Elephas maximus indicus: one gene and its partners. The protein of the gene in region 2 interacts with the protein of the main gene of each other region in a biochemical or structural test. Links are inferred from orthologs where the notes say so. Each region holds a gene or a part of one and is shown on either strand. Other genes may lie near its edges. The genes, in order: UBE2E3, UBA1, UBE2R2 and UBE2L6.

Region 1 (7,499 bases), on a different chromosome or scaffold from region 2:
GTAAGCTGCTAGCTGAAGTCCCGAGAACTGGAAGTCAGACAAACAGGAGGCAGCTGCAGGATCCAGAGAAGGCAAAAGCCAGAACATCCACTTATATTCAAATGCAGGCTACATGCCCAAGGAAACTCCCTTTCAACTGATTGGCTACTCACAGCAGATCCCATCATGGGGAAGATCACATATAAACATGGAGAATCACGGCCCAGGCAAGGTGACACACAATCAACCATCACAGTGGGTAATTTAAAAAGATCTGGTTCCTTACCCTAACCTACACAGTTGCTCAATTTAGAAACTTCTTAGGCAACTCAAACTATTTCTCTCTTTATGTTTTTCTGTAGACGCACACACGCTTGCACGCGCACACACACACACACACGAGACCGACTGAAAGGCTCAGGAGATAGCATCTCCCAATCTAGGGAGACCTAAGGATTCTGGGGCCTGCCTTGCCCAGAGCCCAGTCCACCCCGTAAGAACAGGTCCCTTTTGGTCACAACATTTAGTGGGAAAGGGAAGAGGAGGTGGTGATATCTTTTGCAACTGGATTTAGTATCTTTTCTCTTACCACTGGCTCTCTTTCAGGGTGAAAGGTTGGCAGGATCCTCATTCCAATAACAGAAAAACAGGAGACTGAGATGGAAAAACCTTCCTGTGGTAGCTGGTGTCTGCTTTGTGGTGCTATTTTGAGGGGCCTTATGGGAAAAAAATTTATTATATGGCTTATGGAATAATTTGCATTAGGTTACATCTGTATGCCCCAGGGGGGCCTATAAAACTTGATCCCTAATTTCAAGGATAAAACCAAACCGAAACCTATTGCCATCAAGTTGATTCCAGCTCATAGTGACCCTATAAGACAGAGTAGAACTTCCTCATAGGGTTTCCAAGGCTGTGATCTCTACAAAAGCGCATTGCCACATCTTTCTCCCTTGAACTGGCTGGTGAATTTGAACTGCTCACCTTTTGGTTAGCAGCTGTCATGGATTGAATTATGTTCCCCAAAAAGTGTGCCAACTTGGCTAGGCCACAATTTCCAGTATTGTGTGATTGTCCACCATTTTGTCATCTGGTGTGATTTTTCTACATGCTGTAAATCCTACCTCTATGATGTTAAGGAGGCAGGATTAGAGGAAGTTAACGAGGCTGGACTCAATCTACAAGATTAGGTTGTGTCTTAAGTCAATCTCTTTTGAGATATAAAAGAGAGAAGTGAGCAGAGAGACAGGGGGACCTAATACCACCAAGAAAGAAGCACCAGAAGCATAGTGTGTCCTTTGGATCCAGGGTCCCTGTGCTGAGAAGCTCCTTGACCAAGGAAAGATTGATGACAAAGACCTTCCCCCAGAACCAACAGAGAGAAAGCCTTTACCTGGGAGCTAGTGCCCTGAATTCCAACTTCTAGCCTACTAGAATGTGAGAGAATAAATTTCTGTTTGTTAAAGCCATCCACTTGTGGTATTTCTGTTATAGCACCACAAGATAACTAAGATGGCAGCCAAGTGCTTAACCACTGTGCCATGGATTTCAAGGATAGACATGGCAAAAACAAGATAGAAAGAACTTCACATTAGAAACAACTCATAATTTACAAGTTACTTCTGGTCAATGTGGTAATGTCTTGTTACCCTGGAGGAGAGCTGTGTCAACCACTTGAAGGACTCCATTAGTCAGGTGAAAGAAGGCATTTGGGAACCTAATATTGTGGGAGAAGGTTGCTCCTATTCCTGCCCTTACGGAGCCATTCATTCTCTTTATCAGGACTGTAACAATATATTAACTACTATACAGAGGGTTGCTATGAGTCAGAATTGGCTCCATAGCAGCGGGTTTGGTTTGTTTTTTGGTATTTATTGAACAGATACTACGTGCCAGGACTTTGCCAGGAGCATTATCTATATTATCACCTACTGATCCTTCCAGGCTCTGGTTATTATTACTTCTTTTGATTCATATCACAAGCTGAATTAATAATTCCATTAAACCAAAACCAAACCCATTGCCATCGAGTAGATTCCAACTCATAGGGACTCTATAGGACAGTGCAGAACTGTTCTATAGGGTTTCTAGGAAACCCTGGTGGCATAGTGGCTAAGAGCTATGGCTGCTAACAAAAAGCTCAGCAGTTCAAATTCACCAGGTGCTCCTTGGAAACTGTATGGGGCAGTTCTACTCTGTCCTATAGGGTCACCATCAGTTGGAGTCTACTCGACAGCAACTTTGTTTTTTTAATAATAGGGTTTCCAAGGAGTGGCTGGTGGATTCTAACTGCTGACCTTTTGGTTAGCAGCTAAGCTCTTAACCACAGCGCAACCAGGGATCCAGTAATTCCACTGATAATTATTAATTGATAATTAATAATTCTCCACTCTCACCCTGTTCACTTTTTTAATAAAACACCAGTCTGTAGACTACATTTCTGGCTGCCTCACTACACAGTGAGCCCATTAAAAGGACCCATGTTTCACTTGATTTCTCCAGCATTTAGTAGTTTAGCCCTGGTGGTGCAGTTTTTAAGAGCTACAGCTGCTAGCCAGTTCAAATCCACCAGCCCCTTCTTGGAAACAGTATGGGGCAATTCTACTTTGTCCTATAGGGTCACTATGAGTTGGGATTGACTTGATGGCAACAGGTTTGGTTTGGTTTTTTGGAAGTGTTCTGTTGAGTGAATGTTGAGTGTAATGTCTGCCACGACTTCAAACTCATTGACGAATCATGGAATTTTTGAGCAACAGAGGACTTGGAACCTTTGACACAATCTCCTTTTACGCATAAGAAACATTAAGTTGGAACAAGTAACTTGCCTGAGGTTACACAAACTAATAGGTAGGATGAGAATTAGACTCTAGTTCTCTCGCTTTCCAACCAATGCAGTTTCTTCTGCAGAAAATACTCTACCAAAATACAACGAAATACCCTTATTCCCTTATCTCTTTGCCATACCCAAAGCCGAAGAACATTTGGGCCTTCAGGTTATTTCCCTGGTATTTCCTAAAACATCCCACTTTTGACATACAGTTTTCCTTTAACAGTCCCCAGTATCAAATAGCACAAAGCTCAAACTCCAAATTAGCCAGCTTTTGCTGTAGAGTCACAATGTGTCACAAAGTTGAGGAAACCTTCTGTCTATATTTGTACCAAAAACTCTTCCTACAAGCATCCTTTGGTCCAGCTAAATCAAAATGCTTGTCCATAACACATGCCACGGTCTTGCCTCACAGTTTCTTGAGACATGCTGTTCATTCTGACTGAAATATCCTTCCTCCTTATCAACCTGGTGAGCTTTAACAATTTGTACCTGACCTTAATCGCATGATACTTGAATGAGTAAATTTTGTGTGTCCAGCACCTAGCAACATAGCCCTCAATGAAGTACCCTGTGTCTTTAGAAAATGAGAGAAACGTAACTTACTGGTCAGAGTGGTGAACAACCTTTTACCAAAACTTAAGTAAAATGAGGAAAAACTTAACGAAAAATAAGTAAATGTGTTCTTTCACTCAGTCTTCTTCCTTTCTTTCCCTTAACTCTCGTTTGTCTGTTGTGGCTGCTATTCTCACTCCCTCTGTGAACTCCATATTCTCCCAGCAAACCAGCTCCTGGACACTTGAGAGGAATCCACAAATTCCTTTGAGGCTCCATCACTGGAACAAGTTCTCAGTAGCTAGAGAAGGTCTGGGCTGCTAACAGGAAGTTTTTGTACTTCTGGCTACTTTGTGCCTGGGGCAAAAACTGCAAAGTCCACCTGGAGACTCTACAGGATAGAATGGTAGAACAAAACTAACATCCACTATCTCCATTGAATGCTTATCTAGATATCACTCTTTCCAGAACTGGCGTCTGGCTTAGTACTTCAGAACAGTCTCCAGACCCCCGTGAGCTTCCTTCTTCCACCTTTAAAAATTTTCAGCAGGACATTTAAAAATTGTTTTGGATTTAAGTTTTCAAGCCTCCCCTTTGGAAGCGACAGCTGCAGGCTGACGGCCAAGGAAAAGCAGAAGCTGGTCCTCTGGTCTCGAAATCCCTTTCACTCCTCTCAATGTCCAGGACCCCATCTAGCCCCTTCGTCTTGCTCACATGAGGAGGAACAGGTAGGTTTCCTCCAACTGCGTCGCTGGCCTCCTTAACACCACCTCTCAGTCCTCCAGAGCCTGGGGCAGCTGGGGACTCCCAGCCACGCGCTCAGGGCCCTTGCCTAGGCGTTGGGACCCTGGGGCCCATACCCGACCCTGCGCAGGCTAAGGGGATGTTGCCAGCAGTAGGGGTGACCTCGGCTCGCCCGCCCTGAAAAGCCCTCCAGCCTCGGCCCGCGGGGCGGGTAGCCTAATGGGCAGCCTCCGCCCGGAGGCGGGCACAGGCCGGAAGCCACCCCGCGGCACAGCAGCCCCGCGAGACGGCGCCCGCGCCCCCGTCCTCTCCAGCGCCGGCTCCGCGGCCTCGGCCTGCAGGGGCCAGCCTGTAGGGGCCCCGCCGCGCTCTTTGTCCTGGACGCGCGCGGGCGGACGCGTGCGCCCCCCGGGTGAAGGTAGGCGCGGAGAGAGCGCGCGGGAGCGCGCGGGAGTAGCTCGCGCCCGCCGGCTGCCGGCGGCGCGCGCCCCTCCGCCAGGCAAGCGGCGAGCACGCGCGCCGGCCCGCGTCCGCCCCTCCCCCGCGCTCGCCTAGGAACTTGCTGACTGCGCGGCCGGGAGGAGCCGAGCCGGGCGGCGGCGGCGGGAGGCCACAGTGCGCGGGGGTCTCCCGCGTCCCCTCCGCCTCGCTGGGAGCTCGCGCCCTCGCCCAGCCGAGCTCCCACCCCCCGTTTTTTCCCGAAGGCGCTGGGCGGCGCCACCCTCCGGCCGGAGCCCGGCACTACACAGCCCCCTCCGACTTTCAATGTTCCACACTCCCCGGCCAGAGCCTCCTCGGCTTCTTTTTTTCCCTCCCCCCCCTTCCCCCCCCAACTGCCTCCATTTCCTTAAGGAAGGGTTTTTTTCTCTCTCCCTCCCCCACACCGTAGCGGCGTGCGAGCGGGCCGGGCGGGCGGCCGAGGTAAGGCAGCCGGGCCGGGGGGCCGCGTGGGGGGCGGCCGGGGCGGCGGCGGCGGCGGTGGGGGAGGGGGCGGGGGCGGGCAGCTTTGTTCGCGCCGGGCGCCCGCGCCGCCGGTGTCCGCGAGCCGCGGCGGGGCCGGCCGGGCTGCTCGCATCACTTGGCGCCCGGCGCGGCGAGCGCTGCCCACGGCCCCCGCGCGGCCCTCCCCACAAAGGGCCGCGGAGCTGCGTGGCGGCCGCCGCCGCCGGCCGCGGTTCGCCTCCACGGGCGCGGAAATTTGTTGCACTTCTTGGGGCTTTGTTTGTTTGTTTTTCCTGGGATTTTTTTTTCTCGTTATTTTGGACAAAATGTCGGTCCGTGATGTAAAAATTGAGCGAGGAACCTTGGTGGCATTGGGAGCTTTGCAGAAGGTGCAGTTTGGATTCTGCTTTTCCCAGGGTGGCAGCTCTCTCTTGGCCGGATGAATCTTCGCTGCTGGCCGTGGAAACGGCTAGAGCAGCTTGTTAGTTGATTTTTAAATTTCTAAATGTTGTGTTTAAAGCCTTACGTGCAGCGAGGAGGAATCGCCACGTTAAATAAGCATATGGGTGATTAACGGGGTATGTTTTCCTCTCGGAAAGGCAATTTGGTAGCTTTGACCAATGTCAGTGTGTAAATATTTAGACGTTATTAGTGACTTTTTAACATTTTTCAGCGAGATCTGTTATTTACAGTGTGTCATATGTTATTAATGCTCGTTGCCTAAGTTCCCTGGCAAATCTGTTTCATGCCTTCTGAGAAAGTAGACAATTGATAGATTGTCCAAGGAATGGAAAAAAAAAATGTGAGTGGGTTTTCTAACTTGAGTCCGGTAAATCCTTGAACGGTGGCGTTGTGAGACACATCGCCTCCCCTTGTAACCTTGTGTGAACACTTTTGAAGCCTTTTTATTAAAATTCGATTTTAATTGATTTATAGAAAATAAAATGCTATTGGTTTATTTCTTAGACTTAACCTTTCCTACCCCCCTATTTTTCTCTTTAAAAGTTTTCCAAGAAATAACTTCACCAAGATGTCCAGTGATAGGCAGAGGTCCGATGATGAGAGCCCTAGCACCAGCAGTGGTAGTTCAGATGCAGACCAGCGAGACCCAGCCGCTCCAGAGCCTGAAGAACAAGAAGAAAGAAAACCTTCTGCCACCCAGCAGAAGAAAAACACCAAACTCTCTAGCAAAACCACTGCTAAGTTATCCACTAGTGCTAAAAGGTAATGTGTTAAAAAGGGTTAAGCACATTGTCAGGTTGTCTTCCAAATGGTCGGACACTTTGTTGGTTTTAGATCAGTAGGAATAGTTCAAAAAATGCTTCACGATTGGTCTTATTTGTATTTGAATGAGTTGTCATTCTGTAGATGATATGTAAACCACTTCCATAGAATTATAGTTTTAAGCAAACTTATTCTGTACTTCAGTAACTTCAGCAAGAATGTACTTGAATAAAGATTGGACTACTATTCTGACATATTAAGGAGTTGGTGAAGGGAAATTTGTGAGCCCAAATTAGAGGTACAATGGGGATGTTTACTTTTTGAGTCATACTCTTTTCTTTATTGAAGTTGACACTTCTGAAGGTCACCAGTGCCTTTCCATGAAACTTTAGTGATCCAAAATAATCACATTTGCTGGAAAATCTATAAATTCAAGGTCTTGGCTATATGTGAAAGCAGATTTAAAATCGTGCTACAAACTGTTCTCAGTTTCACAAACAAGTCTTTAAGTTATGCATCCCAGGTATACTTTAAAATGATGGTTATTCCTCTGTGCCTGTGAGGGCACATAAAACTGCAAGGCAGCCGTTTACAGTTTTAAGTGTCACTTGGCTATTGAAAACTTTCATCGTCCTTGTGCAACTTTTTACACTAAAACTTGTGGAGACACTTGACACATTAATACTCAACAACAAAAGAAACATTTTGTTGGATATAAGTGAAAAATTGCTTGTTTCATGTTGATTTATATGTATTGGAGAGAAAAGATCCTATCGGTGGGGCTCCATCCGTGGGGGTAGTTGTGGAATATCCATGAACTCTAGGAATTATGTGGACAGAGATACATCAGATATATCTATTGAATTAGTATTGACATTCTGTTGGTTTTTATTGATCGCAACTAAAGGGCAAAGAAAATACAAAAACTGATCAAATATTGTGTTTTGTAGTGATTCTAAAATATTCATTTTTCTACAGATTTTCATATCTATTGTATAATAATCAAGCATTAATAACTTGAGAATGTTTTATTAAATAGCAGCAGTCTTTGAAATAATTTATAATTCAGTCTTTTTGAAGAACGTACTAAATTTTAAGTTTTCAAAGCATTTTTCATTTGAATAAAATCAGAGAACTGCTTTTTTTCCTAACTCAAGGCTATATATGTTATTACCGCTTCCCCCAAATTTATTAAATTTAAATGCTGTACTTAAAAGATACTTAAAAG
Region 2 (8,019 bases):
ACCAAACTCCCAAAGAACAGTTCCTATCTTATAAAAATTGTTCTAAACATTAGAAAAAGATCAAAAGATGGTTTATTTTAGGAGGCTAGTATAATCTTGGTCCCCAAAACAGATGAGACAATACAAGAAAATTTTCAAGCCCATTTCATGTATAGTTGTAGATACAAAAATCCTTAATAAAATATTAGCTAAATGAATCCAATAGTATATTTATCAAATACGTTTTGATCAAATAAAGTTTATCCCAGGAATGCAAAATTGAGTCAACGTCAGAAAAGCTTTATATATAGTCCTCTATTATCAACAGGAGCCCTGGTGGCACGGGTAAAGCACTCAGCTGCTAACTGAAAGGTCAGCAGTTCGAACCCACCCAGCAGCTCCACGGGAAAAAAGATCTGGCAATCTGCTCCATAAAGATTTCAGCCAAAGAAAACTGAATGGGGGTGGTTTTACTCTGTCCTATAGGGTTGCTATGAGTCAGAATTGACTTGGCAGCAGTCAACAACACAACAGTATTATTGTGGGAAATTCTCAGCATTTCTATGTGGAAGACTATAAAAAATTTTAGGCACAAAATGGCAACAAAATATTAAAAAAGGAACCCTGGTGGCACGATGGTTAAATGCTTACATACTAGTCAAAACCCACTCAGAGGCTCCTTGGCGAACAGGCCTGACTATCTGCTTCCTGAAAGGTCACAGCCTTGAAAACCCTTTGAAGAAGTTCTACTCTGCACACGTGGGGTCACCCTGAGGTGGAATCTACACAATGGCAACTAACAACAACATATTAACTGACTAAAAGGAAACAATAATCTCAACCACAGAAAAAACTTTGATAAAGCGCAAGAATCCATTAATCCATACTTATATAATTTTTTTTATATAAATAAAGGAATAAATGAGGAAACAAATGGAGGAGGGAAAGCTTTTCTTTACGATAGAATGTCGTCTAATAATTATAAAACAAATGATAAAACCCTCTGAATTTCAGTGGGTTAAACTTCTATGAGGAACAATATTTACATAGTATTAAAGTACTTCACCACCAAATACTTGCTAACTACAAAGGGAAAAGATAATAACTTTACAGTAGAGAACCTCGCAGATAGCATTTTAATCAAGGGATGAAAGTGAGCATCATCAGTATTAAAACTGTACACCACCTGATAAGATGAAATGAGAAGACAGCATCACTTCTGTGATACAGTGTATTCCTATCCAAGATGCAGAGCCCGAATCAAATCTGAGGAAACATCAGACAAACCCAAACTGAGGAACATTCTACAAAATAACTGTAATCTTCAAAAGTGTCAAGGTCATGAAAATCAAGGAAAGACTGAAGGAGACTAGAGAGGTGAGACATCTGAATGCTCAAATGTCACTTCTGATTGCCCTAACTACCCTATTTAAAATTCCAACCCCTCCTCCACCATACTCTCTATGCCCCTTCCTTGCGTTGCTTTTCTCCATAGCACTTCTCAACTTCTAATGTACTGTATATTTTATTTATTTTTCTATATGGTTTGTCTCCATCACTGAAGTGCAAGCTCCATGAGGGTAAGGATTTTTATCTGTCCTGTCCACCGCTGTATCCCTAGTGCCTAGAGTAGGGTTTGGCGTACCAGATATTGGAAACGTGAATAAATGCACACACCACAACTGTTCAAATCATTCTCATCCTCAAGACTCTATTTTTAAAAAGTTCCTGAAAATCCGTAAGTACACCAACCCAATAGAAAGGAGGCAAAGGACATGCACAGAAAGTTCCCAGAAAAAAAAAAAATGCAGTTATCTTCAAATCTGTGAAAAGATACTTAAACTCACTCATAATAAGAGAAATGAAAATTCTAATTACAGTGATTGACAAACATCCAAAAGCTTGACAATACACTCTGTGAGATTGTGAATAAACCGGCACTCTTCTATGTTGCTGAAGGCAATGCAAAATGCCTTTCCCCTCACCTCTCCCTCTACTTTTCCCCTCTTTCTTACCTCCACAAGCTTTTTTTTTTTTTTGCTCAAGTAGTTTCCTCCAACTCTCCCCTCTTGCTTGTCCAAGTCAAATTCGGCCTCAATTACTGCCTCTGAGACATTTGAAGGCAATCAGTTCTTCAGAGAAGAACTCTGACACATCCATGGCATCAATTTCCACCTCTCATGAGCTCAAATCCGTATCTCCAGCCCAGACCTATTCCCAACCCCTGAATTTCAGACCCGGTCCCCAGCTATTCACTCAACTGACACCTCTACTTGGATGTCTAACAGCAACAACAAAAAACCAAAGCTGTTGCTGTTGAGTCGTTTCCTACTCACAGCAACCCTATAGGACAGATTGGAACTGCCCCATAGCGTTTCCAAGGAGCGGAGCTGCTGATGGATTCAAATTGCTGACTTTTGGTTAGCAGCCGAGCTTTTAACCACTAGGCCACCAGGGCCCCATAATCATGTCCAAACTTATCATGTCCAAAAACACACTCCTGATCTTCCCCCATATCTGCTCGTAATGGAGTTATGTGCCATGTCAGTTGATGGCAACTCTATCCTTCCAGCTGCTCAAGCTAAAAGCCTGGGGGGTCAGCCAGGACTCTATCTTTCATGCCCTACATCTGATCTCTCAGCAAACCTTGGCATCCTTACCTTCAAAATCAATCCAGAATCATCACTCCTCACCACTTCCACTTTCACCATCTTGGTCTGATCCTCTCATCACTTCCTAGACTCTTACAGTAGCCGTTTCACAGATCTCGATTCTTCCACCTTTGCCCCTATAACCCTCTTTGTCCCTCCATACAGAGCAACCAGATTGTTCTAAAACATAATTTATATTATGTCACTTCTCCGCTTAAACCCCTTTTAAGGCTCCCTACGGATCTTAGAGTAAAAGCCAAACAAACATCTCAGCCTGGCTTACAATACCCTACTTGATTTGGTGTCTGATCTCATCTCCTAATACTTTCCCTTCCTCATTCCTCAAGGAGCCCTGGTGGCACAGTGGTTAAGAGCTCGGCTGCTAACTGAAAGGTTGGCTTGTCGAACCCACCACCTGCTCTGCTGAAGAAAGGTGTGACAGTCTGCCTCCCTTACTCTGTCCTATAGAGGGACTATGAGTCAGAATCAGCTCAGTGGTAATACGTTTAGTTTTTTTGGTTTTCCTCATTCCTCTCCATCTACACAGAATCATGCCACGATCCTTCCAACCTCAAGGCTTTGCACCTGATGTTTCTTTTGCCTAGAATGCTTTCCTCCACATTTACACATGGCTCACTTCCTCACTCCCTCACTGCTCAAATGTCACCTCCTCAGAGAGGCATTCCCTGACTATTTTAGACTGTGGGTATCAGGCAAGGCTTCTCTGAGGTGATGCAAGATCTTGACAACTGCAAGGGGACCCTTGCTATGTTCCTTGCTATATCCCCAGGGCCCTGCACTTAGTGGGCGCTCAATAAATCATTTTCAAATGAACGAATTTGGAGGTTGCTAACAGGGTATGAGATACAGAATTTGGGATAAGGTGATAAAGATATTCTGTGTTAAATAAACTCCTTGGCACAAATGTCATCTTTTCAGTGAAACCTTCACTGGCCACACTGTCTGAAATTGCAGCCTATCCCCACAGATTCCCCTTACCTTGTCCTGTTTTCCCCCATAGCATTTAGAAGTTAGCATATGTATACAATGTTATTGTTAAGTGGGCCTCAGGTATACAGAATGATGCCCTGTCCTGTGCCATCTTCATGATCATTGGTCTGTTTGAGTTCATTGTTGTGGCTTCTATGTCAGTCCATCTCATTAAAGGGTTTCCCTCGTTTTCACTGAGCCTCTCTACTTTACCAATAAATATTTATTTATATAATTCACACATTAATATATGTATTTAACATAAAAAAAATTTATTATACCAAAACCCGTTGCCATTGAGTCGGTTCCGACGCATAGCGACCCTATAGGACAGAATAGAACTGCCCCATAGAGTTTCTAAGGAGCGGCTGGTGGATTTGAACTGCCGGCCTTTTGGTTAGCAGCCTGAACTCTTAACCACTATGCCTCCAGGGCTCCAAATTTATTATATACAGATGTAAATCATTTTAATAAATACTAAGGCTCCAAATTTATTATATACAGATGTAAATCATTTTAATAAATACTAGCTAGGTTAAAAAAAAAATTTTTTTTATCATGTTAAAAAAATTTTTATCATGATAAAAAAATTGTACATTACACATAATTTATGTCACATGTTTATTATAATACATATTTATATGTGAAATTATGATTTTTTACTTATTTGTTATGTTTATGGTCTGTCTGTCTGTCTAGCTAGAATGTCAGTTCCATGAGCACCTGGCCCACAGTTTAAGCTCCATAGATGTCAAGTGAATGAACTCCTCTGGCCACCTGAGCCTCAGTCTCCCCTTCTGTAGGGTGGGTGTGCCTTTCCGTTTGGAAGCACCTCCACGTTCTGCTCCCTTCTCCCACTCCCCCAAGAGCACTGCGCCCGCGGCCCAGGTTTACATTTTCCCTTACCCTGGGAGCCGATGCCCACCACGTGCATCAGGCGCTGGCCAGACAGGACTACCACCCCCAGCATGCCCCGCGCCGTCCGGGACTACCACGGTCTGTAGGGGTGTCTGGGTCTGAAACGGGCGCTGGCTGCGCGGAAGCAGGGACAGGTGCCCCTCTAGCCAAGCGTCTGTGGTAGGGCCCAGCCCAGGGGACCTCTAAGGCCCCGCGCTTCTGAACTCCGAGCAAACTCTGGCTCCTATTGCACGACGGAGGTGATTTGCTCTTCCGTTGATCCGTGGCATCGGCTCATCTCTAGCAGGAAGGCGAGGCTTCCGCCCGGCCCAGGGGGTAAGATGGAGCACAGTGCCCCCAACCCTTGGACAGCATTTGGAACAGGGCGCTCAACTTCAGAATCCCCTAGTGGGCGCATTTGGAGGCTCCAGGCCCAGGGTAGCATTTAGGGGTGTCTGTTTTGGAAGGATCCTTAGGAGGTGGCATTTGAGGACTCCGGGTGGGATTTGGAAGCCTGTTTTGGGGCATACCCCCTCGGAGGCAGTGTTTAGGGGGATGTTTGGGGAGACCAAGAAGCCCCGGTAGTACAGTGGTTAAGTGCTCTGCTGTTAACCGAAAGGTCGGCCGTTCGAACCCTATCTGGGGGAGAAAGATGTGGCAGTGTGCTTCCGTAAAGATTACAGCCTTGGAAACCCTATGGGGCAGTTCGGCTTTGTCCCACAGGGTCTCTATGAGTTGGAATCGACGGGAAGGCAACGGGTTTGGTTTTTTTTTTCTTTTTGGGGGGCGGGGGGAGAGACCCTTAGGGTCCACGTTTGAGTACTCTGTCCATGAGGGAGGAATTGAGGTGTCCCCCAAGCAGGGAGGCGGAGTTTGAGGTTCCTGAAGTCAAGGCGCAATTTTGGGAGAGTTTATATTAGGAAGTGTCCCGCTGACAATGTTTAAGAACGTTCAGGACCGATGTGGCATTTGGAAGGTATTCATGGCCATTGTGACCTCTGATGGTTCCATGATGGGGTACTCTCTGCACTTGGGGAGCCAGGGTGGTGAGACTGAGCACGTCGGGGTCCACACGTTTTTGGGGAGAGGAACCCCGACCCCATGCTGTGCCCAGGGACTCCAGAGCCCGGTCTGCTGGGCTTTTCCTGAGAGGAGCAGATTTTTGCCTCTTTCACACCTGGTCCACTGTAAGTATTGAGTTGTGAATTATTCACGAGGGGGCGGGTCAGTGTGCTGAAGCTGGGTTTGGGGTCTGCCACACCAAACTAGAGCTTATTGACTATTCATGCAGGTGAGTAGAGCCTCATGTTTTCTGCGGCCTTTCTAAGGGCCCATTCCCACCCCATTGCCTTCCAGTCAATCCTCATTCATAGTGACCCTATAGGACAGACAGAACTGGCCCATAGGGTTTCCAAGACTGTAATCTTTACAGAGGGGCCCTGGTAGTGCAGTGGTTAAGAGCTCAGCTGCTAACCAAAAGGTCGGCAGTTTGAATCCAACAGCCGCTCCTTAGAAACCCTAGGGGGATGTTCTACTCTGTCCTATAGGGTCGCTATGAGTCCAAATCGACAGGATGGCGATAGATTTTTTTAATCTTTAGGGAAACAGACTGCCACATCTTTCTCCCACAGTGCGGCTGGTGGGTTCGAACAGCCAACCTTTCGGTTAGCACAGGAGCGCTTAACCACTGTGTCACCAGGGCTTCTTTTCCTAGGGGCATTGCGTATAATTCATGAGGGGCATGGCTTTTGCGGCCTCTTCTACATGATCCGTGGTTAGCTTTCCCTCGTAGGTTCCAGTGTATAAGCCTTGCATCTAGCGAAGGAGTGGAGCCTCATGCATTGTTCATAATTCCTTATGGCCCAGTATCCCATGTTATCAACAAAAACTCTGGATGCAAATCTCATCAATCCTTGCCAGCTGTGTGATCTTTGGCAAAGCTTTTGTGAGCCTGAAAAATGGGTATGAGGATAATGATAATAAAATTAGCAAACACTCATTTAGCACTTTATTAGCTCATTTAATCTTCACAACAACTCTGGGAGGTAGGTTATTATCACCTTTTATAGATGAGGAAACTGGGACACAGTTAGGCTAAGTAATTTGCCTAAGGTTACACAGCCAGTGAGTGGCTGAGCCAGGATTCAAACCCAGTCTAGTTCCAGAGTCTGCAGTCTTAACCAAGTGCCATAATGCCTCCCCACTCCTCCCCAATATAATAGTACTACCACTAATGTTAGTCATATAGCAGTGCCAGGCACTGTTCTAAGTGCTTTGTACATATTTACTCATTTAAACTCCTTCACAAGGTAGGTTACTATTATTATTACCATTTTATGGATGGGGAAACCAAGGCCCAGAGAGGTGAAGTGTCTGGTCCCCGGCCACACAGCCAGCAACTGGTGGCCAGAAATGTAAGGGTTTAAGTTTTTTTTTTTTTTTAAGGAGGTTACATTTGAGTTGAGACCTGAAGAACCGGAAGGAACCTGTTTCCTCCTCTGCAAAACAGGGCTAATAAAAGCACCACCTTCACGGTGTTTTCCTGAAGAGGATATCAGTGGCACAATGCATAGAAAGGACACACCACAGGAGCTACCACTTAGTAGGGGATTAGTTACTGTGGTCTGTTATTATTTAACAGAAATGTGTTGAGTTCTTACTGTGTGCCTGGGGCTTTGGCATATGGTTGTATCTGGTGACCTGGTAGACTGTCCTACTTATTTCACAGACATTGGTTGCCTTATCATGCTGTTTTCCAGTATTCTTCCGGGAGGGTGTTTCACAGCATTATTTTTTAAATAATGCTCCAAGTGGGGGTTTCTCAAGTGACTGGGTATACCCTCACCCAGAACTAATTTCATATTAATATAAATACATATTTATAAATTACCTTTATATTACTATGTAATATTTTAAAAATTTAAGTGTTTTTGTGCCAGCAGTGGTCTAATCTCGTCCCATAATTCATATCCTCTAATTTTCATAATAACTTATTTCAACCCCATGAGGTGGGTGGGTTCTGTTACTATACCCATTTTCAGTTGTGGAAACTGAGGCATCTGCCAAAGGCATGTAGTGAGTCTGGGTTTGGTGGGATCAAGGCAGTCCTGGCTCATGAGCAGTTCAGGGGTGGCGAGGAGGGGACATCATTCCCTCTGTGACTCTGCAGCATTGTCTTTCATTATTTATGAACCGGGAGGCGTGACCACATTGTCTCGGCAACTAGGCAGTAGTACCATAATCCCTCCCTGCTGGCAGGGGGCTGTTTTATAGTGCATAATTCATGAAACTGGGTGGGATTTTTCTGACCTCTCTGAGTTTCCAGGTTGAGCTGCTGCAGCAGTGTCATTCATTATTCATGATCCGGGGAAGTGTAGTTTCTCTGCAGTAAGTAGCCCCATTTCCCTGCTTACTGGATATTTAGTGCAGCAATAGGCGGGCCTGTGCCTTTTGTTCCAGCCCAATAGGCGTTATGCATTATTCATGAATAAGATGTGGCTTT
Region 3 (7,753 bases), on a different chromosome or scaffold from region 2:
ACTCCAGAGCCAGTATAGATGTCTTGTTTTAGTTACCACCAGAAGGCACCAACTAGAGTGGTCAATCTCTACCTGCCATCATGAGAATATGAGAAAACTCTAGGAAGCTGTTTCTGCCATTTATTCTTTTGACAAATATGTTTTGAGCACTTTTGAGTATTGTAGTAGCTGGTATACAGTTATGAACAAGACCCGTTGTCCTTACAGAATTTATAGTCTTGAGTACCTACTGTATGCCTGCCAGATCATATTAGGCAGGGGAAGGGGTGGGTGGGTGGAAGATTTGTGATTTTTTGATTACTGATTGTCTCCCTGCCCTTGGCTGTGAATCCATAGAACAATTGCTTAATGTTTACTTTGTGTTAGGTGGTGTGCTGCTTGTTGAGGATATGGGGATGAATAAGACATAGTTGCAGCCTACTAATAAACAATGTCTTACCTGCTAGGATTAAAAAGGCATGAGACCAGTCCTGTGGAATTCAAGTTCCTCTGACCTGAGGATGGAGATCCTTGAATATACAGCTTGTTCGCACACTGGGGTGTAAGCCTTCAGACAGGTATGTTTACCAGCTACCCTGCTTGGGGCCATGATTACAGTGGATACTTGGTATGAGTTTGTGAGTCGATTTGAGCCCTGAGAGCAGCTTCCGATCTGGGTGCCAGGTGTATGTCCCAGTGAGTTAGACTAAGGGACCTGCCATCCTCTGGGTCAGGGTGGGGCTTTTATGAGTTTATGTGGGTGAAATGTTTTGAAGATTAACTTTCTGCCTATTTGTCTACTCATAGCTTTGTTATTAAAGGTGTCCACATCACCTCCCACCTTTCTGGGTCAGCAGTCCTCTTGTCCCTAAAGTGAGTGGTGGGGGGAGGGGAGCCAGGACCAGTCATAAGCCATCATTTTTGAGAAGGGGCTGCATTGACTAGGACATTCCCTCTCCCTTCAGGGAAACTCTAATTACAGTGGAGTTTGGTCTCAAGACAGAGAATGGTGTTGAGGGCTAGGGGTGATTCTTTAAATACTGAAACCTCATCCAGTGGCGTCACTAGGGTTGGCGTCACCCAGTGCAGTAACTCATGGTGTTAATCCCCCCATGGACCTCCTCCTATACCAGACCATATAAATCCTTAGTAATGTTTATTATAAATTTTAATCATAGAATAATGTGACTAACATAGTTACAAATTACTTAAGTGTAATATTTCTTAGATCATATGAATAACCCAGAAACCCAGTGCCGTTGAGTCGATTCTGACTCATAGTGACCCTATAGGACAGAGTAGAACTGCTCCCCATAGAGTTTCCAAGGAGCGCCTGGCGGATTTGAACTGCTGACCCTTTGGTTAGCAACCGTAGCACTTAACAACTACGCCACCAGGGTTTCCAGATCATGTGAATACTAACAACAAAACTGTTTTGTAAAATCTTTTTACATTGAATTACATTATTAGTTACAATATTATTACTGAGTGGAAGCCTTTCTTTTTCTCCTTCTTTTCCTTTAATTACTACTTCATTCTCAAAAAAGTTATTGATATAGGTTCACAAATACTGATTACCACAATATTGTAGCTAAAATGTCGGAAAATTTGACAAAATCAGTGACTATAAACACACTGGTAGCAACGAAAACAACAGCATGTGCTTTTAGGGTGGACAGGCAAAACCAATTTGAAGCCTCACTGTAATTGGGTCATTATGACAGCTCTGACCACATTAGAAAGTTCAAAAAGTAAATAAGCAGCGTTTTAGTTTTGTAGGGATATTGATGCATGTAAGCTGGGCTTATGAAAAATGTCTTTGTTATAACTAACTACAGGGATTTTTTAATGAAAAATAATAAATTTCTGCTGAAACACTGCACGAAATTTTTATAGACACTCATTTTGGTGTCATGCCCTCTGACAGTGTACCCGGTGTGGCCTGCACCCTCTGCATCCTAGTGACACTACTGACCTCATCTTTGAGAAAAGAGACAAAAAAAAAGGGGTTCCTTGAGTGTGGACTGCACATAATGACTTTCTTCCAAAGAGTATAGTATGGAAGGGGAGGGGGGATAATAACTTTATGGTGGAGAAATCTGACAAACACTACCTTAGCCAGGTGACAAAGGTCAATTTTAACAGTAATAAGTCATGTTGATAGTATCTACCCTTGACATGTGATGAAAATGGCACTTTACCTCTGTGATCTTTCTCCCAGAAACCTGTAACTCCAGTCTGATCATGAGGAAAACATCAGACAAATCCCAAACCTGACAGTATTCCTTAGAACCGTCAAGGTCATCAAAAACAAGGAAAGTCTGAGAAACTGTCACAGCCCTGAGGAGCCTAAGGAGACATGGCAACTAAACGTAATGTGGTATCCTAGATGGGATCCTGGAACAGGACATTAGGTAAAAACTAAGGAAATCTGAATAAAATATGTTCTTGTTGTTGCTAGATGCTGTTGAGGTAGTTACACATCAAAGCACCCCTATGTACAACAGAATGAAACACTGCACCTCAGTCCTCAAAATGACTTCTTTGCTTTTGAACACTTTAAAGAGGTCTTCGGCAGCAGATTTGCCCAATGCAATGTGTCATTGGATTTCTTGACTGCTGCTTCCATGGGTGTTGACTGTGGATCTAAGTAAAATAAAATCCTTGACAACTTCAACCTTTTCTCTGTTTACCAGGATGTTGCTTAGTGGTTCAGTTGTGAGGATTTTTGTTTTCTTTATGTTGAGGTGTAACCCACACTGAAGGTTGTAGTCTTTAATATTCATCAGTAAGTGCTTCAAGTCCTCTTCACTTTCAGCAAGCAAGGTTGTGTTATCTGCATATCACAAGTTAATGTGTCTTCCTCCAATCCTGATGCCGCGTTCTCCTTCATATAGTCCAGCTTCTCAGATTATTTGCTCAGCATACAGAGTGATTAAGTATGGTGAAAGGATAAACCCGACACACACCTTTCCTGATTTTAAACCATGCAGCATCCCCTTCCCTTGCTCTGTTCAAACAACTGCCTCTTGGTCTATGTATAGGTTCTTCATGAGCACAATTAAGTGTTCTGGAATTCCCATTCTTCATAATGTTATTCATAATTTGTTATGATCCACACAGTCGAATGCCTTTGCATAGTCACAAAACACAGGTAAATATCTTTCTGGTATTCTCTGCTTTCAGTCAGGATCCAGCTGATGTTAGCAATGCTATCCCTGGTTCCACATCCCTTCTGAATCTGGCTTGAATTTCTGGTAGTTCTCTGTTGATGTACTGCTGTAATCACTTTTGAATTATTTTCAGCTAAATTTTACTTGTGCGTGATATTAATTTTAGTTAGTAATAAGGTATCAATATTGGTTCATTAATTGTAACAAATGTACCATAGGAAGGAAAAGTGTTAATAATAGGGGAAACTGGGTGCTGGGTATATGGGAACTCTGTTGTATCTTTTCGATTTTTCTGTACGTCTAAAGCTATTGTAAAAAATAAAGTACATTAAAAAAAAAGGGGTGGCGTCCAAAATACAGCTATGCCTTTAAAAAATTTTGTATTTCTTTAAAGCTCCTATTTATGGATCATTTACCATGTGCCGATCACTGTGCTAAAAACTGTACACAGGTGATCTCATTTAATTATAACAATAATTGCTTGTGTTAGGTGTAATTAACCACCTTTTACAAAACTGATGAAACAGGGAGAGGTAATGTAATGTAAACGGTGGAGCCAGAGTTGAAATAAAGATCTTTCTGTTCCCCAAGTTCGGAGTCTCTTGGAACACTCACATCCTGGCTTTTCCAGAAAATGTTTAGGCAATTATCATAAGACGAGCATTCCTAAGAGAAAGGGATATTCTAAACTCACCGGAACTAAAGACTGTCTCTACTTCAATCATGATTATCTCAAAAGTCTGTCAGTTCCAGGCTGAAACTTCAAGCTGAAAAGATCTGTAGGAGTCAACGTCCAACCGTGGTACTTCATTTTACGAATTGGTAAACTGAGGGACAGCGACAGGACCTGCCTAGAATCTCGCAGGGAAGGCCCAGGAACCCAGCTTCAGTCTCTGTCATTACTCCCCACCCCCTTCCTCTTTGTAGTTAAGAAATAGGAACTCGCCCATCTATCTTCCCCCATTTCTCAGATGGGAAACTAGCAGTACCCCTTCTCCCCCCGTTGGATGACTTGCCCAAGGACACACTGGCATGACGGCTGGACCTAAGCGCCTACTGGGTGCAGCGCCCGCAGAATGAGTGTCACGGGGAGGGGCCTGCAGAGGACTGGAGCTTGTCTGAGGAGGGCTACGCAGGGCGCAGGCTCGTGTTGGTTCGTAGCAGGGAGGAGGGTGCGGACTGTTCTAGGACTTGAGGTCCCTTCGAGGGTGTGTCTTTGGAACCGCGGCGTGGAGCCGCACAACCGCCACTTTGGGGGCAAGGCTGCCCCCTGCGACCGTCCTCGGCTCCTATCGCTGCTTGGCTCTTTAATAGCCGGGACCACAATCCGGCGTCACAAAGCGCTGCCACCGCGCTGGACCGACCAAAGGAGGCGGGGAAGTGGGAGGAGGAAGAGGAGGAGGAGGACGAGGAGGGAGGGGCGCGCGCACGCGCGTCCGGCCGCCAGCCGCTGAGAGCCGCCCCCCTCGCGGCGCGCGCCCCTCCTCCCTCCCTCCCTCCCTTCTTCTCGGCTCGGTCGCTCCCGCGGCGCGAGGCGCTCTAGCTCTTCTCCTCCTTCTCCGCTGCCATCGCCCCTCCCCCCGCGCAGCCGCCGCTGCCGCCGCCGCCGCCGCCGCCGCCGCCGCGAGACCCCCGCGCGCCGCACTCCCCCTCCCCGTCCGGCCCCGCGCGCCCTCTGGCTCCGGCGGCCCCCGAGGAGAAGGAGAGGGCGAGCGAACGCGGCGCTCCCGGGCTGGCCCGGCCCCCTCCGCTCACCATCGCCGGCCCTCCGCCGCCTTCCTCCGCCTCCACCTCCTCTCCCCCCCCTCAGTTGAGGCCCCCTCCGGGGGGGGGAGGCCCAGGACCGGGAGCGAATTCCCCCTAACTCCCTTAACCCCTTCCCCTACCCGGCCTGAGTGTGAAGAGAAGGGCCCGGCCCGGCCCGGCCCGCGTCGTGTGTGAGGAGACCCGGGGCGGCCCACGGGCCGTCTGGGGCCTGGTCCGGCCCGCCTGGTGGGCGAAGACCGGGGCCCGGTGCGGCCCGGCCCGGCCCGAGCGCGAGCGGAGGGGAGGGGCCTGCTCGGCCCGGCCGGTGCGTGAGGACTGGGGCCCCGGCGCCGCCGCCGCCGCCGCCGCCGCCGCCGCCGCGATGGCCCAGCAGCAGATGACCAGCTCGCAGAAGGCCCTAATGCTGGAGCTGAAATCCTTGCAGGAGGAACCGGTGGAGGGCTTCCGGATCACCCTGGTGGACGAGTCCGACCTCTACAACTGGGAGGTGGCCATTTTCGGACCCCCTAACACCCTCTACGAAGGCGGCTACTTCAAGGTACCCCCCACCCCCTCCGGACCGGGCTTCCCCAGCCGAGCCCTGCTCTCCCCGCCGCTCTCCGCTGTTTGCCGGGCAGGAGTGGGAGCGCGGGTGAGTGGAGGGGGCTCCTCATCTTGGCAGCCCCCTCCCTCTTCGGTGGAGGCAGGAAGGCCTTGCTCACCAAGTGCCTTTTCTTTGTCATGGGGGCGGGGGCGGAGGGGAGGCCATTCTGCCCCGGGAAATGGGAAAGCCTCTCCTCCGACGGGGGTAGTGGCTCCTGGGGAAGGAGAGCTCTTTGTTTTGTTTCTTTAGCTGAGGGTGTATGGGAAGAAAGGTAGTCTGTCTGTCCCTTCTCGTCCTCTCATCAGAACCATCCCTGCGCAGGCTGGAACTGCCCCAGAGGGCAGGGTGACCTGCACTTATTGGGCTTTTCTGTTTGGTGGAGGTGGGGGTGGGGAAGGGGTACTAACTTGTCATCCTGGAGGCTGCCTAGTAACCTGACATTTTGAGGATTTCCTGGGGAGTGGTAGTTCAACTTTGCATTCCAGTGGGCAGTAATGGGGATTAGGACCCTAGGGTGGTAAAAGAGAGTGTCTGCGTTTTCTTGCCGTTATTCACTTTAGAGAACTTTAATTTTGCCTCCTGTCTTCATGCTCTGTTTACTTCAGTGGTATTTCAGAGTGCCCTTTGTCCTCACCCTGCCACTGAGTTTACTTGGCTCTTTTTCCTACACGTAGAAATAATCTACATATAGAAGGTGGAACATGTCATGGAGGGAGATTGATAGTTCCCCACTTTAGGGACACAAAATTGAAACCTTTTACTCAGGTGGTTTACTCAAGCAAATAGGGTGGTCTCACGGTTTAAAAGTATCTGAGGTGAGGTGATTCACTGGGAGGGAGGGCTGGCTCCTTAGACAGCGACTGTAGACATGGTTTCTGTTGTTTTCCACGATTTAGAACCGTGGTCATTATCATTCCTGAATCTAGCTTTTTTTTTTTTTTTTTTTTTTAACTCCTAAGGTAGATAGTTTGGAGATATGACTTAGTTCTTTGTTTTTATTTTAGCGTTTTTGCAGAGATGGCTCACAGATTGAAAGTTTGAATATTTTAAATGGTGGGGACAGAGACAGAGGAAATGAGTGCTTAGGAATCCATTTAATTTAATTTTTTTATTTCCAAAATTAAATAAAAGAGAATCGGTGAGCCAGTTTTAGTTTGTTTTGAAGGGAGGGACTATCTTGGCACAAGTTTTAAGTGAGTATCTTAGTCATGTAGTTATGATGTGTATTTTTAGGACTACCCAGTTACTTAACCCTTGTTTTCTAAAGGTATAAGCCTCAGTTTCAGGCTTGAAATTGGGTCAACTTTGTAGAAAATTTGAAGGATTGATGTGGCAGTGTTTAATATTCAAGCCTGTGGTAGTCACTTAATAAGTTAGTAAAAGAGCATTTTCATAACATTGTATGAGAGCAGTATCCTTACCAACTATGTGTTTCATCTATTGTGGTGAGCATACTCAATACTTCTCAGATGTAGGTATTTACAATCACTAAGTAAGTGTACAAGTTATTAGTGATAAATTGGAGAAAATATTGCTGGGTCTATGTTGAGGCCTCTTTACTGTGTTGTCACATACAAATTTTCATTTATAGATGTTGGAAAAATATTTGCACAAAATGGAATTTATGTGTTGACTTTTTTAGCGAGGTAATACTTAGCAAAATCTGTTGGTTAACTAGTGGAATAAAGTTTAATTTCCTAAAAAGTATAATTCTTTCGGACAATTAATAGTCAAGGTACATGAGTTCTGTTCAGAATAATCCCATTCCGATGCAGGTTGTTTTTTTTTTTTTTCCTTTAAAAAACAAACTCTGAAAGAAAATAATGAATTGTAAGTTGTAGTATTTTTCCCTAACTGGGGAAGGAATATGAGTCGGAATCGACTCGACGGCACTGGGTTTGGTTTTTTTTTGAGGGGGGAAGGAATATGGAGAGCCCTTTCGATTTGATGAAATAGTTAGTGTGGAAGGAGGATTTGTTGGAACGTACATTGATTAAATACTTTTAAACTTCAGTCCTGTTTAAAATAATGGTTTAATCTCTCATTTCCTTGTGTGTGCTAGATTTCTTAATCCTTGAGGTTTTTTTTTTTTTAACTTTTAGTTCTGACATAAAAATATTCTTTTAAAAATTCCTGAACAGGTTTCATAATCTAGTCTTGTGTGAGAAATTTAATTGCATTTTCTTCTGTCCTTTATTGTATGGCTTTTAATGCTATTACTCCTTCATTGGAAAAAGGCAAATTTATGGTC
Region 4 (7,570 bases), on a different chromosome or scaffold from region 2:
TTCTCAGAAATGTGGCCCAATCACCTGGCCATCACCCAATGACCTCAACAGCCATTGACTGAGCATGCTCTAGGGACCACGACATGGCTCAAGCCTCAAGAACAACCATGGAGTAATGGAGGAAACATGAATGCAATTACGAGAATGACGTGTGTGGATGCATTAATGAGGAGAGAGATGGGAACAGGAAGGCTTACAGGGGCTGCACATGGTGAGCCGGGCCATGCAGAATAAACAGGAGTCCACCACGCAGAGAAGTTGAGGGGCACCAAGACAGGCCCAATTAGGGCAAATGTCCCATGGAAAGTCAATAGTTATTACAGGAAAAGGGTTCCATGGATGAGTATGTTTGGGAAACACTGGGCTAAACAGGTTTCCTTACTGCAGGGATTTCCAGAGCCTTTAATTTGTTATTGCATATTGTGAATCCCCAAAACGTGAGCCCATAGCATGCAGTACTTCTCAAATGGATCTGACCAAGCAACCTCTCGCCCTTTGCTGATGACAGAACATTTTTTTCAAAACAACATAAAAATGACATTCAAGGGCAGGTCATACGTCTGTGAAACACCAAATGGGTATAAACCACTGGTTCTCAACTACAGGAAATTTTACGGAGCCCCCCCCCTCCACACCCCCGCCCAGGAACATTTGCCAATATCTGGAGGCATTTTTGGTTGCCATAAATGGGAGGCAGGAATGCTATTGGCATCTAGTGGGTAGAGGCCAGGGATGCAGCTAAACATCCTATAGTGCACAGGACAACCTCCCACAACGAAGAATTATCCGACCAAATGTCCATAGTGAGGAGGTTGAGAAGCTCTGGTGGAAACAAGGGCAGAGAGAACGTTCCCCAAACCCAGTTCCCAGTTGAGAAGGGGTCCTTTAACATTGTAGACCATCCGAACTTTCTATTTCCCCCTCCCAAAATATAAACACGCCTTTGTTCCCCGCCCCTTCACTCCAACACACTGCTTCTCACACCTTCTACCCAGATTCTATGACTTTTCATTTATTTTTTGCCCCAAACTAGAAGCATCTTTTACTACAAATCGGGTTCCGGTATCATCTGTTATTTTGGGGGCAACAATGAAGCCCAAGGGTGAATAGAGAAGCTCTGGAATGGACATTTTTCCCTGACTTTACTATTAACAGGAACATTTCGGATTTTATCTATTACAGGTGAGTTCTGCCAAAGCTTTCGCAACACCTGAGGATGATGAAACCTGAGCTAGGACACAAGGCTCCTTCCTGAGGCCTGTTAAGAAATCACCTGACTTAGAGGAAGAGAAAATGAAAGTAGAGTGACCATTGAAAGAGCCTGTTTGGAGTCCTGAGGACCCAGCTTAAATCCCAGCCCCATCTCTTCCTTCTTCAGTGACCCTGGATAAATGAGTTATTTTATCGGAGCCTCAATTTCCTCATCTGTAAAATGGGAGTACAGGGTTGCTGTGAGAATTGGATGAAACAACTGATGTAAACTGCCTGGCACGTAATGATGCCAGTGTGATAAATAAAACCAGCTGCCATCTAATCGATTCCAACTCACGGCCACCCCATGTGTGTCAGAGCAGAACTGTACTCCACAGGATTCTCGATGGCTGATTTTTGGGGAAGTAGATTGCCAAGCCTTTCTTCTAAGGCACCTGGGTAGACTTGAACTGCCAAATTTTCTGTTAGCAGCTAAGTGTGTTAACCAGTTTGCACCACACAGGAACTCCAGTGTGATAAATACTGGTTTCCATCTCTTTCCTACTGGAAAAACCCCTGCTCCATTTAGCAGTCGCCCTTCAGATTTCAGTTCTTCTGGGTTGAGCCTACTCTGGGTGACCCAGACTGAGACCCTCTTCTTCTCAGAGGCTGGGGGTAGCAGGCACTCCCCTCAGCCCCTCCACTCCATTCTGCAGATTAGAGGAACTCAGAGTCTGGGGGTGTCAGATCCACTTCACCAGGATTTTTCTCCATCTCCAGCTACACCCCAGCCCCCCCCAACCACCCAGGATTTTCCCACCTCCTGGTGGAATTTGCTCCATCCCCATCCTTCCAGACCTCATCTCAAACTGTGTCCCTGATTAAAACGAAGGCTCAAGGAAGGCAGGGATTTGTGTCCTTTGTTCACCTCTGCCTCCCTACCAGCTAGAACAGGGCCAGCATACAGTAGGCATTGAACAGCAACTGCAGAACAAGGAACAAGGCAGGCGCGCGCCACCGTCTCCAGGAGCCTTCCCTGCTCTGCTTCAGCATCTTCTCCACAGAGCGCTCAGGGAACTTTGACCTACTCCGGGTCAGCACCCCATGCTGCTTTGGACCCTAGTCAAGCAGGTATCAGCCCAGAGGACGGGCCATAGACTATTCCGAGGAAAGTACCTTGTCCCCTATCTCTGTGCATAGCCCACTCCCCACCCACAGCAGGGCGCCTGCCACCAGGATGAGGCCAGGAAACCCTCCCCGCACCAGAGACGCACGTAAATGTTCTCACAAGTTTCTGGCAGAAGTGAAACTGAAACCAGTTGGGGGGGCGGGGGGGGAATCCGATCGGCTCACTCCACCCCCAGCACGGCTCAGGGAACCAGCGACACCACACCCCATATGCCCCCTCCCCCCAAAAACACTTCCCTGACCCCTCGCAGACCCCCTTCTCCCCTGGGGTTAGGGAGCAGGAGATGACAGGCATTCAGCCGGCCCCAGTACCTGGACTACTGCGAGCGCTCGGAGAGCCGGCAGGGGAAAGGATGGAGGGAGTAGGGAGCCCGGGAAGGGGCGGAGGGGGCAGGGAGCCGAGGAAGGGGTGGAGGGGGGAGGGAATCGGGAAAGAGATGGAGGGAGGAGGAGCGGGGGAGAAGGAGTGTCCCAAACGCAGTTACCTTCGCCACCCGCTTCCTCGCTGACATCTCGGAACCGAGTGTGGGGCACTAGCGGACTCCAGCCGACCTTGCGAGGAGACTAGGCGCCCCGCCCCGGGGACCCCACCTCCGGGAGCCCCGCCTACGCTCCGCTCCGCCCGTGCGGTCGCCGGACGCAGCAGACCTGTTCCCCACTGGCTTTTCGAAGACAGAGGGGGCCCTGCGGGGAGAACCCGGCCAGGCCTCAGAGCCGCGCGCTCGGATCCGGACAGCTCGCGATCTTTGTTGGGGGGCACGGATGGTCCCTGGAGCGCGCGGCGTGCCTGGTCTCTGAGTCCCGGTAGGGGGCGCTCTGCATCAGGCGGTGAGCGCGCAGAGCGCGGGGCTGGGGTCTGCTCATCCGGGTGCTAGTTTCTGCCCGGGACTGTCCCAGGGACTCCTCTCCATCAGCCGGCTCCTCGTCGTCCTGAATACACGCTCACCCTAAGTAAATGCAGGGATGCAACTCTGCTCCGCGACAGGTCCCCCGGCGGCCTCCACCGTCAGACCACTGCCCTAAACCCCTCGTCTAGCAAACTCTTGGACCTGCCTGGACAGGACCCTTCTTCTCTCTGCGCCCAGTGCCCCATCTCTAAAAATGAGAGTTTGGGGTTCTTTGTGCTGTCCAGCATTCGGCGGCGGACCTACAAGGATGTTTCTCCCAGAAGGGTGCTTGGTGAAAAGCCCCACAAGGAGGCGCTGTTTGGACCCTTTCTCTCTTGTTTTTGCGAGTCGGTCGCCTGTTCATTCGGTCCTTGACTGCCCACCAAAAAACCCAGGCTTAGTATTTCATCAGCGCCGATCTCATGCTCGTCTGGGAAACAGCTGGGTGGGAAAGCCCCAAGACGGATTTCAGGAGCCTTCCCCCAGGGGAAGCTACTCAGCCTCCCTTATATTATCCCTGATCCATTACACACTGGGGGCCTACTATGTGCCCCCATACACAGCAGGCGTCTCCACCCCTCTGGGCAAGGGCAGAGACCCCTGCCCCAGCCGAATCTGAGCCCACCGCGAAACAGCAGCCCCTGAGTACCAAGCAGCAGTGTCTGAGAAAGAGCCTCCCAGACTCGGGACTCCCAGAATCTCCTAGACTCTGAGCCCTTCTTCTCCTCCCTCCCAGCCCCCCACTTCAGCTCAGATGAGGAAAGAAATCGGCATATTTTGAGCACCAGATTCAGAGTTAGGTACCTGTTTTAATTACCTAATGCTTTAACCACAGTGGGTGGCTCTAAAGAACAGAAATTTATTTCCTCACAGTTCTAGAGGCTAAAAGTCCAAATCGGGGTCTTGGTGGTATCAGTTCCTTCCTTGTAGGTATTTCCGAACATTCCTTGGTCCCTTAGCTTATAGATGATTGACACATAGCGTGTCCCCCATTTTCCTGGTGTTCCCATTTCTCTGCATCTCATGTACTCTTTTTGTAACTCAGAAGTGATTAGATTTAGAGCCCACTGTACTGTGTATGGTCTAATTAACATAACAGAGAAAACCCTATTTCCAGACAGGATTACATCCCCAGGCATGGGGGTTAGGAGTCCAGCACATATTTTGGGGGCAGACTCAATTTAATCCATAACAGTATCACACAGTTTTTGTCTTGGTACCAACTGACTTCTCTGCTCAGATGTGGGATGTATCTGCAGGACAAACGATGTTTAACTCGACAAACTTGAACTGAGTATCTTCTATATGCCAGGAATGATTAGGACACTGTCTAAAATCCCCTAAAGCAAGTAGACTTATTTCTGTTTTAAAGATGAGGAAACTGAATTCAATAGCTGGGATTTGAACCCATGTCTGGTCAATCTTCTCAGTTGCTGTTTTAAGTGCCTTCAAGTCTGTTTTGACTCATAGGGACCCCATGTGACAGAGTAGAGCTCCCCATAGAGTTTTCTAGGCTGTAGTCTTTATAGGAGCAGATCACCAGGTCTTTCTCTCCAGGAGCCGTTGGCTGGTTCCTTAACAAACACTTAATATTCAGTATTTGCCATGGGCCAGGCACTGCCCTTAGGGACTGGGGATGCCACAGTAAGAAAGTGAGGTCTCTGTCCTTAAGGAGCTCTCAGATTATAGGGACGGGGGGAGGGAATGTAGCCTCTGTGTTTTTAATGCAAAGAGGTGAACATGAAGATACATGCAATCATATGGTGTTATGGAAATGAGGAGGGCCATCACTGTACCCAGCCCTGGGGTGAGGAGCGAGCTTTCCTGGAAGAGTTAAAAATCTAAATGAGTTGTGAAGTCTGATAGGTTAGCTGGAGTGAGAACATGGGAGGAGGGTGTTCCTAGAAGTGGGAACAGCCTGATTAAAGACATGATGGCAGTATATATGGAAACTGAAAGTGGTTTCATGATGTGGAGCAAAAGTTTCTGCCTATGCCCTTTGTTTCTCCTTCCCTTCTATTCCAGAAACGCTGCATTCCTGCAGGCAGGCTGTGACCCCAGTGCCCCTGCCTGCCCGGAAGTGAATGTGTATATGTGTCTGCATTGTGTGTATATATGTGTATGGATCCAGCTCCGTCCTGCACAGCTGGGTGACCCATATGTCACATCCTTGCACAATGTGGACCTTTGTTGTCAGAACAAACCCTGAGCTGGGAGCCAGGAGCCTGGGTTCTGGTTTCACACATACTGTATGGCCTTGGGTGGGCCATGGAACCTTCCTAACCCCTTCATAGTGGACCTACCTGCCTCCCAGGACTGTGGAAAAGCTAAGCTCATGGAAGTGGAGGAGCTTCAAAAATTATAAGCAAGCCCAAGATATAAATAATCAGGTTGGAATCCCAACTCCACCATTATTGGCTAAATAACTTTGGGCAGAGTACTTAACCTGTCTATGCTTCTGTTTTCTCATCTGTAAAATGGGACTAATGATAGTATATACCTCACAGGTAGACGTGAGGGGCAATAATTTGATACTTGTAAAGAACTTAAGAATTTAGAACAGTGGGCAATAAGCGATAGTTATAATAATAATACTTATTATTATTTAAATGATGCCAGTTGCCTGCCCAGGGGGTGCTGGGTGGGAGGAACAGAGATTCCTGAGCTTTCTGCCTTTGGGCAATGACATATCTTTCTGAGTTAAAAAGCAGTTACCTTTGAGGTGACTCGGACTCATAGTGACTCTGACTCATCATGGCAACCCCAACTCATGGCAACCCCTTTTGTGTTAGAGTAGAACTTGGCTCTGTAGGGTTTTTGTGATGGTTAAGGTTGCGTATCATCTTAGCTGGGGCATAATTCCCAGTGGTTTGGAATTTATATAATGATGTGATTTGGCAGTTATGTAATGATGTAGTTACCTTCCATTTTTGTGATTTGATGTAATCATCCTCTATTTTGTGATCTGATGCAAGCAGCCAATCAGTTGAAAGGGGAGTTTCCTTGGGGGTGTGGCCTGCATACCATATATGGATATTTTGGCAAAGCTCACTCTCTTGCTCTGAATCCTGCATCCAGCTTATCATCATCTGACTTCTGGTTCTAGGGATCTGAGCCAGTGGCCTGCAGTATTGCCTACTGATATTGGGATTCTTCAGCCTCTGCAGCCTATGACTCAGCAGCCTGCGGTCTTACCTGCCAATCATGGGTTTCGTCAGCCCTGCAGCTATGTGAGTCAGGAGAAGCCTCTAGCCTGACACCTGACCCCACCAGCTTGGGACTTGCTAGCCTCTACAAACACATGAGCCATTTCATTTGTCTTCTCTGTCTCTCTATACATACATACATACATATCCAAAAACCAAAACCAAACCTGTTGCCATCTAGTCTATTCCAACTCATAGCGACCCTACAGGACAGAGTAGAACTGCCACATAGAGTTTCCAAAGCTGTAATCTTTACAGAAGCAGACTGCCATATCTTTCTCCTGAGGAGTGGCTGGTGGATTCAAACTGCCAAACTTTCAGCCAGCAGCTGAGTGCTTTAACCACTGCGCCACCAGGTTTCCTTCCTCTCTCTGATCCAGTCCCTGTCATTTATTCATACAATCTACAACACTTAAGAGCACCTATTGTGTGAGGCCCTGTGCTGACACTGCAAAGGGACCTACTCTGTGGACTTGGGGTTTTAACAATGAGTAGAAGAGATGCACATCTTTGTAGATGACAAAAGGTTGCAGGGAATAAGAAATTTTCTCAATACAGCCAAAAGCTTAAAAAGCCAGAGTAGCAGGGACCAGGGACGCCGATCTTGAGACCATGGTTTCAGGGGATATCTAGATCAATTGGCATAACAAAATGTATTAAAAGAAGGGTCTGCATTCCACTTTGGTGCAAGGCGTCTGTGGTCTTAAAAGCTAGCAAGCAGCCATCTAAGATGTATCAATTGGTCTCAACCCACCTGGAGCAAAAGCGAATGAAGAACACCAAAGACACAAGGTAAATATGAGCCCAAGAGACTTTTAGAAACGGCCACATAAACCAGAGAATACACCAGCCTAAGACTGGAAGAACTAGATGGTGCCTGGCTACCACCAATGACTGCCCTGACGGGGAACACAACAGAGAGTCCCTGATAGAGCAGAAGAATAGTGGGATGCGGAACTCAAATTCTCATAAAAAGACCAGGCTTAATGGTCTGACTAAGACCAGAGGGACCCTGATGGTCATGGCACCTGGAACCTTTGATAGCCCAAGATTGGAACCATTCCCGAAACCAACTCTACAGACAGGGATTGGCCTGGA

The links.
Region 1: of the proteins of UBA1 (region 2) and UBE2E3, one has a biochemical effect on the other in vitro, tested with the Homo sapiens proteins (3 studies listed by BioGRID, with this or other methods). The link is inferred for Elephas maximus indicus from reciprocal best matches to the Homo sapiens genes UBA1 and UBE2E3.
Region 3: of the proteins of UBA1 (region 2) and UBE2R2, one has a biochemical effect on the other in vitro, tested with the Homo sapiens proteins (5 studies listed by BioGRID, with this or other methods). The link is inferred for Elephas maximus indicus from reciprocal best matches to the Homo sapiens genes UBA1 and UBE2R2.
Region 4: of the proteins of UBA1 (region 2) and UBE2L6, one has a biochemical effect on the other in vitro, tested with the Homo sapiens proteins (2 studies listed by BioGRID). The link is inferred for Elephas maximus indicus from reciprocal best matches to the Homo sapiens genes UBA1 and UBE2L6.

Annotation. Positions count from the first base shown.
Region 1 is NC_064824.1:79,193,055-79,200,553, forward strand, and holds the start of UBE2E3 (ubiquitin-conjugating enzyme E2 E3), read left to right. Parts: upstream 1-4,416; 5' UTR 4,417-4,523; intron 4,524-4,659; exon of another isoform or gene 4,660-5,026; intron 5,027-5,225; exon of another isoform or gene 5,226-5,436; intron 5,437-5,480; exon of another isoform or gene 5,481-5,528; intron 5,529-6,052; 5' UTR 6,053-6,077; coding exon 6,078-6,271; intron 6,272-7,499. UniProt on the Homo sapiens protein: Accepts ubiquitin from the E1 complex and catalyzes its covalent attachment to other proteins. In vitro catalyzes 'Lys-11'- and 'Lys-48'-, as well as 'Lys-63'-linked polyubiquitination.
Region 2 is NC_064846.1:124,611,484-124,619,502, reverse strand, and holds the start of UBA1 (ubiquitin-like modifier-activating enzyme 1), read left to right. Parts: upstream 1-4,647; 5' UTR 4,648-4,853; intron 4,854-8,019. UniProt on the Homo sapiens protein: Catalyzes the first step in ubiquitin conjugation to mark cellular proteins for degradation through the ubiquitin-proteasome system.
Region 3 is NC_064827.1:42,628,889-42,636,641, forward strand, and holds the start of UBE2R2 (ubiquitin-conjugating enzyme E2 R2), read left to right. Parts: upstream 1-4,648; 5' UTR 4,649-5,280; coding exon 5,281-5,457; intron 5,458-7,753. UniProt on the Homo sapiens protein: E2 ubiquitin-conjugating enzyme that accepts ubiquitin from an E1 ubiquitin-activating protein, and catalyzes its covalent attachment to other proteins by an E3 ubiquitin-protein ligase complex.
Region 4 is NC_064825.1:118,989,251-118,996,820, forward strand, and holds the start of UBE2L6 (ubiquitin/ISG15-conjugating enzyme E2 L6), read right to left. Parts: upstream 3,041-7,570; 5' UTR 2,892-3,040; coding exon 2,865-2,891; intron 1-2,864. UniProt on the Homo sapiens protein: Catalyzes the covalent attachment of ubiquitin or ISG15 to other proteins. Functions in the E6/E6-AP-induced ubiquitination of p53/TP53. Promotes ubiquitination and subsequent proteasomal degradation of FLT3.